2 linked regions of the Daphnia pulex genome follow. The protein of the gene in region 1 purifies or fractionates together with the protein of each later gene. This does not show direct contact. Links are inferred from orthologs where the notes say so. Each region holds a gene or a part of one and is shown on either strand. Other genes may lie near its edges. The genes, in order: cyclin-H-like and general transcription and DNA repair factor IIH helicase subunit XPD-like.

What was found.
Region 2: the proteins of cyclin-H-like (region 1) and general transcription and DNA repair factor IIH helicase subunit XPD-like purify together in Homo sapiens (affinity purification with mass spectrometry; 3 studies listed by BioGRID and IntAct, counting the BioPlex papers as one, with this or other methods). This does not show direct contact. The link is inferred for Daphnia pulex from reciprocal best matches to the Homo sapiens genes CCNH and ERCC2.

The regions. Positions count from the first base shown.
Region 1 is NC_060020.1:2,096,691-2,100,546, reverse strand, and holds cyclin-H-like, read left to right. Parts: upstream 1-1,500; 5' UTR 1,501-1,596; coding exon 1,597-1,713; intron 1,714-1,775; coding exon 1,776-1,972; intron 1,973-2,027; coding exon 2,028-2,201; intron 2,202-2,278; coding exon 2,279-2,538; intron 2,539-2,630; coding exon 2,631-2,742; intron 2,743-2,821; coding exon 2,822-2,948; 3' UTR 2,949-3,148; downstream 3,149-3,856. Other genes in the region: keratin-associated protein 19-2-like, read left to right, coding at 484-516, 598-722, 794-855, 921-971, 1,048-1,106. UniProt on the Homo sapiens protein: Regulates CDK7, the catalytic subunit of the CDK-activating kinase (CAK) enzymatic complex. CAK activates the cyclin-associated kinases CDK1, CDK2, CDK4 and CDK6 by threonine phosphorylation.
Region 2 is NC_060017.1:8,164,179-8,168,298, reverse strand, and holds the start of general transcription and DNA repair factor IIH helicase subunit XPD-like, read right to left. Parts: upstream 2,801-4,120; 5' UTR 2,705-2,800; coding exon 2,700-2,704; intron 2,641-2,699; coding exon 2,541-2,640; intron 2,470-2,540; coding exon 2,215-2,469; intron 2,149-2,214; coding exon 1,915-2,148; intron 1,854-1,914; coding exon 1,730-1,853; intron 1,668-1,729; coding exon 1,571-1,667; intron 1,511-1,570; coding exon 1,377-1,510; intron 1,319-1,376; coding exon 1,150-1,318; intron 1,083-1,149; coding exon 963-1,082; intron 898-962; coding exon 829-897; intron 771-828; coding exon 599-770; intron 536-598; coding exon 257-535; intron 173-256; coding exon 84-172; intron 16-83; coding exon 1-15. Other genes in the region: cyclin-dependent kinase 20-like, read left to right, coding at 2,892-3,210, 3,282-3,512, 3,571-3,641, 3,709-3,748, 3,816-4,006, 4,071-4,120. UniProt on the Homo sapiens protein: ATP-dependent 5'-3' DNA helicase. Component of the general transcription and DNA repair factor IIH (TFIIH) core complex, not absolutely essential for minimal transcription in vitro.

The sequences.
Region 1 (3,856 bases):
CCATAATCTATTGTGGCATGACTATCGAAGAAATTCTATAGTATGTAGATACAATGAATTGCGGTCAACTGGAAACTGGAAAGCGAAATCGTTCACGTCTCTTTAGCGACGTCCTACGCCTGCCTGTCTAACGGCTACAATAATAATGGAAATTGTAGGATTGAAGCTCCATTAGACTATAATAAATCTAAAGACAAAGTAATAAAATGGCTTTCACTTAGTCAGTGAAGAAGTGGGACAGATCTTTTCTTCAGAACAATACTTTAGACTATTAGACAAGAAGTACGAATCAGCGATCTTTTTTCTTGGGAATTTTGGGAATGATCGAGAATCGCTTTCTCAAATTATCCAAATTTCCTGTAATGTTACAAAGAAAACGAGCGAAAGTATCACGTGATCAGCGGTACTCTATTTAAACGGATTGAAAACCAAGTCTATCATTATTCACTGTTCACTAGGACTCCTAGCTACACAATCTTCAATATGGTTGCCAGATATACCAGCATCGTTTCCATCGTGAGTATATTGCATCTTTTTTTAAATAAAAATACCGACTAAAACAAGGATCTCATCCACTAAATAATTAATTTCACGCAGGCTGTCATTCTTTGCTTGGCTTGCGGAGTACAAGCCGGTACCCCTCTTGTCGGATATGGAAGTAACACTTTCAATGAAATATTCTCCACCGGATTTCAAAACGGCCTAGGTGGCTATGGAGCTGGGTAAAACAATCCGCAATTATGCTCTAAAGAAGGCAAAAGGAATAATCTAATATTTTATTTTGTGTTGATAGTACTGTTGCCGGAGCCATTGGTGCCTACGGTCAATTCACTGGAATCGGTACCGTTGGAGTTGGTAAGTAAAACCCAGAATGACTCATATGCTTGTCAACCAAATCTAAATATTTTCAATGTAAACAGGTCAAGCGCTGACTGCCGGAAAAGGCTACAACCCCTACGCCGGCGGTGGTGGTAATATTTTCATTTTGTCTTTGGTAAAAGATATCGTTTGAAAAAATGTGTTAATAATCTATTCTCCTTTTCGTAGGCTCTGGCGGCAATGGTTTCGGTGGTTTCGGAACTGGGCAAACTGGTAACTACCACTAAAAGCCAACTGACGACGACGTCACACAATTTACTTAAGGACGAGTGCGCCGGACGAATTTTTATCACGTTTCATATTTCACCGCAATCCTATGCAATGCCTTCTTGAATACTCGGAAAAATATTTTGTTATGTGTCTCAAAAGCTCTTTACTGGATACAGAGCTTTAGAAACTTTCAAAATTGCCATGCTGAAATAAAAGTTTAGATTCAATTCTCCAGTCTATTTAAAGCTACTCATTTATTATTATTTAAAAAAAAAAGCTTTCTATCGAAATAGGGTTGTCAAAACTCATTCAAACGCGGTGGATTCTCATTGGCTGTCGGAGAATGAAACAACGTCTCCCAGATGGCGTAGGTGTCGTAATCATTGCCTTGGAAACGAAGTCCTCTAGCAGACGAAATTTACCAGAATTTTCAGTTGAAACTCAAAAAACCATATGTGAATGTTATATTTTGCATGGTCAAACACATGAAAACGGGGCAAGTTCAATATGTTTGCAACGAGTACCCAGCGTAGTTTTTGGATGTTTAAAGATGAAAATGATGTTTCTAATGCCCGGCTCAGTGCCAACATAAAATATATTTCAAGCCGAGGGAGAAATATGACTGTAAGTTGCTTCCAGGAAGTGTGACCAACATGGCATGATAATCAATGTGTACTATTTAACAGGTTGAAGAGCAAGAACTCCATTTTTTGAACGTGACAGAGGAAAAAATTTTGATTATGAGTTATGAATACCAGCTCAGAGACTTTTGCAGAAAATTCCTCCCTCCTATGCCTCGCTATGTGATAGGAACAGCTTTGCACTACCTAAAGCGTTTCTATGTCAACAATTCTGTCATGGACTATCCACCCAAAGAGATCCTGTAAGTTATTTGTTAATTAAATACCTGAATTTGCAATAATCATTTATTCTTATAGTGTTACTTGTGTCTACTTGGCTTGCAAAGTGGAAGAGTTCAATGTTTCTATGGATCAATTTGTCGGTAACCTGAAAGGAGACAGAGAAAAGGCTGCTTCCATTATTTTGAACAATGAACTTCTTCTAATGCAACAACTTGACTATCAATTGACTGTCCATAATCCTTTTCGACCGTATGTACATTTCATTGTCTTTCCCTTTGCTGCAATTTTCTTTTGCTCAACATTAATCCTGATTTATAATTTTGCAGGCTTGAAGGCTTGATGATTGACATGAAAACAAGATTTCCAACCTTCAGTGACCCTGAGAGACTGAGATCAGGAATTGATGAATTCCTCGAACAAGTTTTTTACACTGACGCTATTTTGATCTACTCCCCGTCTCAAATTTCTCTGGCAGCCATCATTCATTCCGCGAGCACTTCTAAGGAAAATGTCGACGAATACATTACGAAAATTTTGTTTTCCGAAGACCAGAAACGCTTATTAAATCTCATAGAAGCAGTGAAAAGTAAGAGTTCTAACTTTCCTTCTATTTTCCTCGTAATAGAGATGGTTTTTCCGATTGCCGAACTTCATTGTTTGCTTTCACTTTTATCAAAGAAATCCGTGTGATGGTGCGGAACGTTCAAACACCTCATCGAGATGTCATCAAAGCTTTGGAAAAGAAGCTTCAACTCTGCTGCAATCCCGACAACAACAGTGAAAGCCCAGCGTAATTGCCATTCTTATTTTGTCAATTCAACATGAATTTTAACTGATCCTTTCATAACTTTCAATGTGTTTTGTCTTAGATTCAAGAAGAGGATGAAGCAATCTTTTGACGACGAAGAATCTTTCGAAGATGGCCAGTATCCGTCCGCCAACTCAGATCAAGTTCGCAGTATGTTAATGGGAATGTCCGAAATGGGTAAAATTTAAACGCATTCCCCACGTTTTTTCGACCAGACATCCTATAAAATTTACAGTGCTTCCTGTTCCCACACTTATTCCGGCTTGTGCGTCGATTTCTCGAGTTCCCGTGTGCTGCAAATGTCTGTGCGCTGTACATTGAATGTATGTCTGCCGCACACAATAAATTCAATTAGATGAAATTCAAATACATTCTTGATGAACTGAAATACATGAAATTGGAATGGAATACTTACATGGAATACAATCGAATACATATCAGGCGATGGTGTGATTACAAGTTGCCGTTGAGACTAGTAATACTCATGTATACCTTGTTCTTTTGGCATAACGTTTACGGGTTCGAGTGTCACACATTATTGAATCACGAAAGCTATCTATGGCGGAAAATAATCAAGCGAAACGATGGGAAGTGAGATAATAATAGATGTACTTGGAATAACTCTGATGTCACGAAAAATCACAGGATTTTGAAAACGTAACATGTGTTTATAACATCAACGCGAGATCATGATGTAAGATGCCATTTGTTTCGGTCCGAGCTTTTCTGGAACACAGCAACATCAGAAAGATATGGAATTTGACAAAGGGGTAGGGAATACTACTAAGATTAAATCAGTTATCGAGATATATGGTCATCGAAGTTCGGTTGATCAAACCGTATTTTTTCTAGCTATCGGTTTAACCGAACAAAAGCGGAATTTTTCAAAGTTTTCATTCATAACTTGAAAAAGCAAATTTGTTATTTTACCAAGGGCATCTAGATGGCGCAACGAAAGTGTGGGGTTTGAAAAATAAAATAATTTGAAAATTTCCAGACGGTAAATGTTGGCTCCGCTTTCTATCGGGCGCTTAAAGTTCAATCATGTCGACGAAGCACGGAAGAATAATAATTCATCCCTTTCTCCCGCTATGTT
Region 2 (4,120 bases), on another chromosome or scaffold:
AACATTAACACGGCGCTACATGAATCGGTAAAAGAAATGGTCAATATAGTCAGAATCTTTTGTTTTCCTATTATTTTTCATACCGTCCAAGATGGTGGTCAAAATCAATTCCTTCAGAGACTTTACCCCGTGCGACTGAAAGTAGTACAGCTCCTCGTCCATTATCACAAGCCTTCACTCGATTAAACAGATCGATTCAGATTAAACGAAAATCTTTAGACTAGAGGAATTAATTACTTTTAGAAACGAAACGTACTTTGATGTAGTTAATCAGCGCCAAACTCGTTTCTGCTGCGTCTTGGGTTTCGATAAAGAGGAGCTTGTGTCTTTGCAATTGATCGATAATGCCCTGATCGTACCAAGACGACACAATTGTTTCCAGGTATAGGTAGCTGGTGAAGAAGCAAACAATCCCATCGGGTACAGCGGCCGCTACTTCAACCAACAAATTTCCGTAGTTGCGAATAACGGCGGTGTCCTCACGAGTTTCGTATCGCGATGACATGGCGACCTGGTCGTTACCTTTCGATACGATCTATACTTAAAATAAGAATTTTAGTGTTACGTTAACATTTATGAAAAATGAGGCATCTACTACCATTGGCAGAATACAGGGTCTCGCCAAAGTCATAGTAAATGAGGTCATTATGACTGGATGGAAGTCGAGGATTTTCGGATACATATCAAGCGGTGAAAGGGTTCCTGAGGTGATGACGACAGTTTGGAAACGATTGAAAACTGGTTTGATGGCAATAGATGAATCTAAACAGCTGTAAAATGTACTAGCATTAATCACTGTTGGTCTTTGCGTGTTCTATATTCACATACCTGAAATATAAAATTGGGTTGGAAACTGTAGGTGCCCGATCTTCAAACGGTTCAATGATGATGGTGAATCTAAAATAGTAAATTACTTTTAGATATTTTTTCACCATTTTATCACTGTAAATAAAGATATTAACCCTTTAGTATATGTCGAGACCAATGTAGCAAAGTGAGAAACGGTTACAAGAGGTGAGAAATCCGTCAGGTCGGATATTTCAAGAGTGCGAATGAGTGAAGATAAACGCTCTGCGGTGAATCTGGAAAGTTTATCAACAAAATAGGTAAAATAATAATTTGTGCGTGTGAAACTGTATTTTTATATACCTTAGAGGTTTCCTATCGATACACACTTTAATGTGAATATCTCTCAAGAAACCGGCGGGACTCTCTTGAACGACGTGCTGGACGCGGAGTCGAGTTTTGATGTACTCTACTACTCGCTTCAAAAAGGCCACGAAGTGCTCAGCAGTACGGATCGTTCCAGGGACGGCCTCTATAAATGAAAGAAATGTTAAAATGGCCCGAACGGATACTTGTGAATAAATACAGACCTTCTAAAATTTCAGAAGGTAAAACCGGGTTAACTAAAGCCATGTCAGTTTCTCTCGCTATGTTAGCATCTCGCAATCCTTCAACTAGCCTTTGGTATTCCTTCTCCAACCTTCTGTTGTCATTTTCTTTCATGCTAAAGAGTTAAAAAAGTTAACAACTCTGAAATTAATCATGCACATCCAGTTGTGATTACTTTGAAATGGTGGTTTCCAGAATTTGAATGCTATTGGAGCATTTATCCAGCAGACGTTTCGTTATCTTGACGCTCATCGAATCTATACAGACATTATCTAGAAAAACCAATATTTAATTAGTAGGGCAATTTTAAGAGGTTACGTTTCAGTAAAATTACCAATATTGTGGGCTTCATCAAAGACAACGACGCTAGTTTTTGAAATTTCCTTGGAAACGACTTCTGCAATCTTGGGATCAAGTAAGTAATGATAGCTGTACACCACAATGTTGGCGTGAGTTATCTATAATTTAAATTTGGTATTAATTTGGTTGTACAATATTTTATAAATGTCATGATCTAACGGTGTATCGGGCAAGAAAATAAGGACACCATCCTTTGGCCTGTCCATATTCCTTTAAATCGTCCAGGTTGTACACCCCAGGAGGCAGCGGAAATTCTTTTCCATGAGCATCGAATCCTTCATAAAAGTTGCATACTGGCACAGCGTCATCACCTGCATGACGAGCTCTTACAAACGATGCCGTGAGACCGTAACAGCGCCCGTCGACTACTTTTCCTTCTCTCTCCTTACTGACCTGTTATGTAATTGTGTTGTTGATTAACCATACTTTTAAATCTTTTTACTATTTAATTCATATTACTGAGGGGTGAATGCAGAGATTCTTTCTGGAGCTAAGTGCCAAGCCAAGAATGTTTTGTTCCATGCCCATCTCTTTTTCGTAGTAATTCATTAATTTTCGCAATTCTTCCATAACCTTTTCAATTTCAGGAACAGTTCTTGAACAGTAGACTAGTTTGGTTAAATCAAGGGGGTGAGCCTTCATGTAGGCCACAATTAATGATAGCAATGTTGTTGTCTTCCCCGTTCCAGAAGGCATTTCCAATAAACAGTGACCCTGAATTGATCCAACATCAACAGATATTTATGTAATTTCAAGTTATACTAGTATTGGACGATACAACATACTTTTGCATCGAGAGCATGTTTCAGTTCGAGCATGTATGAAAACTGCTCCGGGTATATGTAATCGTAAGGGAAGTAGACGAGGAGTCCATCAACATTTAATCTATGAACATGTAAATAAATTAAATGTGGTCTCTGAATTGACAAAAGTGCGGGATTTACTTCATTTTTGTACGAGAAAGTTTACAACAACATGCACATAAAGTTGCTTGCCACTTGTTCTTCTTCAAATTTCTAGCAGACTAATTTTCCTTTTCACGTGTCGATAATGGTTACCAATAGATGGCGCGTAGTCAAGGCAACCAATTTGTTGTTTAAAAATATTTGTTGCGATTAGTTTTTTTAAACGATCTCATGGAAAGATATATTGTGAACGGCAGGATTGGGGAAGGGGCACACGGGATCGTTCTTAAAGGTATTGACAAGTCCACAATGAAACTGGTCGCCATGAAACGGATAGCGTTGAAGAACATTAACGAGCAGGGATTGCCGAACTCGGCTGTTCGTGAATTGCTGGCTCTTCGCCTGATCCGCCATGAATATGTAGTGAACCTAGTGGACTATTTCCCACAAGGATATTCGCTTGTGTTGGTCTTTGAATATTTACCAATAGATCTCTACGAATTTTTGCGCTCCAACTCCAAACCTTTGCCGACGAGTCACGTGAAAAGCTGTACCATATTTACATCTCTACAATCAGATTTTAGGCATTCAAATAACCAATATGCAATCCTTTCCATTTAGACATGTGGATGCTAGCCAGCGCTGTGGAATATATTCATAGTTTGGGTATTATGCATCGGGATTTGAAGCCGGCCAATTTGCTGATTGGTTCCCGAGGCGAACTGAAAGTGACCGATTTCGGATTGTGTCGTACGTTCAATCATTCCGAAAAGGCTCAAAGATTATTCACACATCAGGTGGCTTCGCGGTGGTACAGAGCACCGGAACTGCTCTATGGTTCTCGCAACTATGGCAAGTTTCATTTTAATTTAAAAATGCCATGTTAATTCTAACACCTTTTTCACAACAGGACCGGAAGTCGACCTATGGGCTATGGGCTGTATCTTTGGTGAAATGTTGAAGAATTCTCCCCTTTTTCCGGTAAATAATGGCCAATGTTGTCAATATAATATGTTGTAACAGTATCCGGATTTCCATCAAACCCTAGGGAGAAAATGACATTGGCCAACTGTGCACAGTCATTCAAGGTCATTAACAATACGGTAATCATAATCAAGGTGAATGGCATTAACTCTTTTGTGGGTAATTACATAGTACTAGGCACTCCAGACGAAGAAAATTGGCCAGGTGTATCAGCATTGCCAGATTTCCACAAAATTTCATTTACCAAAACTCGGAAACAAATCTCCTTTAAGAAAATCCTGATTGATGTAGACGAATCATCACGAACGATGCTGGAACAATTTCTTCGCTATTGCCCCCAATCACGAATAACAGCTAAACAGGTCATTTCTAATCTTCTATCTTTTAAAAATTTAAATCTAATTAAAACTTTGCATTGACAACCAGTTTTTGGAAGCTAAATATTTTCAAGAAGATCCGTTGATGACAGCAATAGA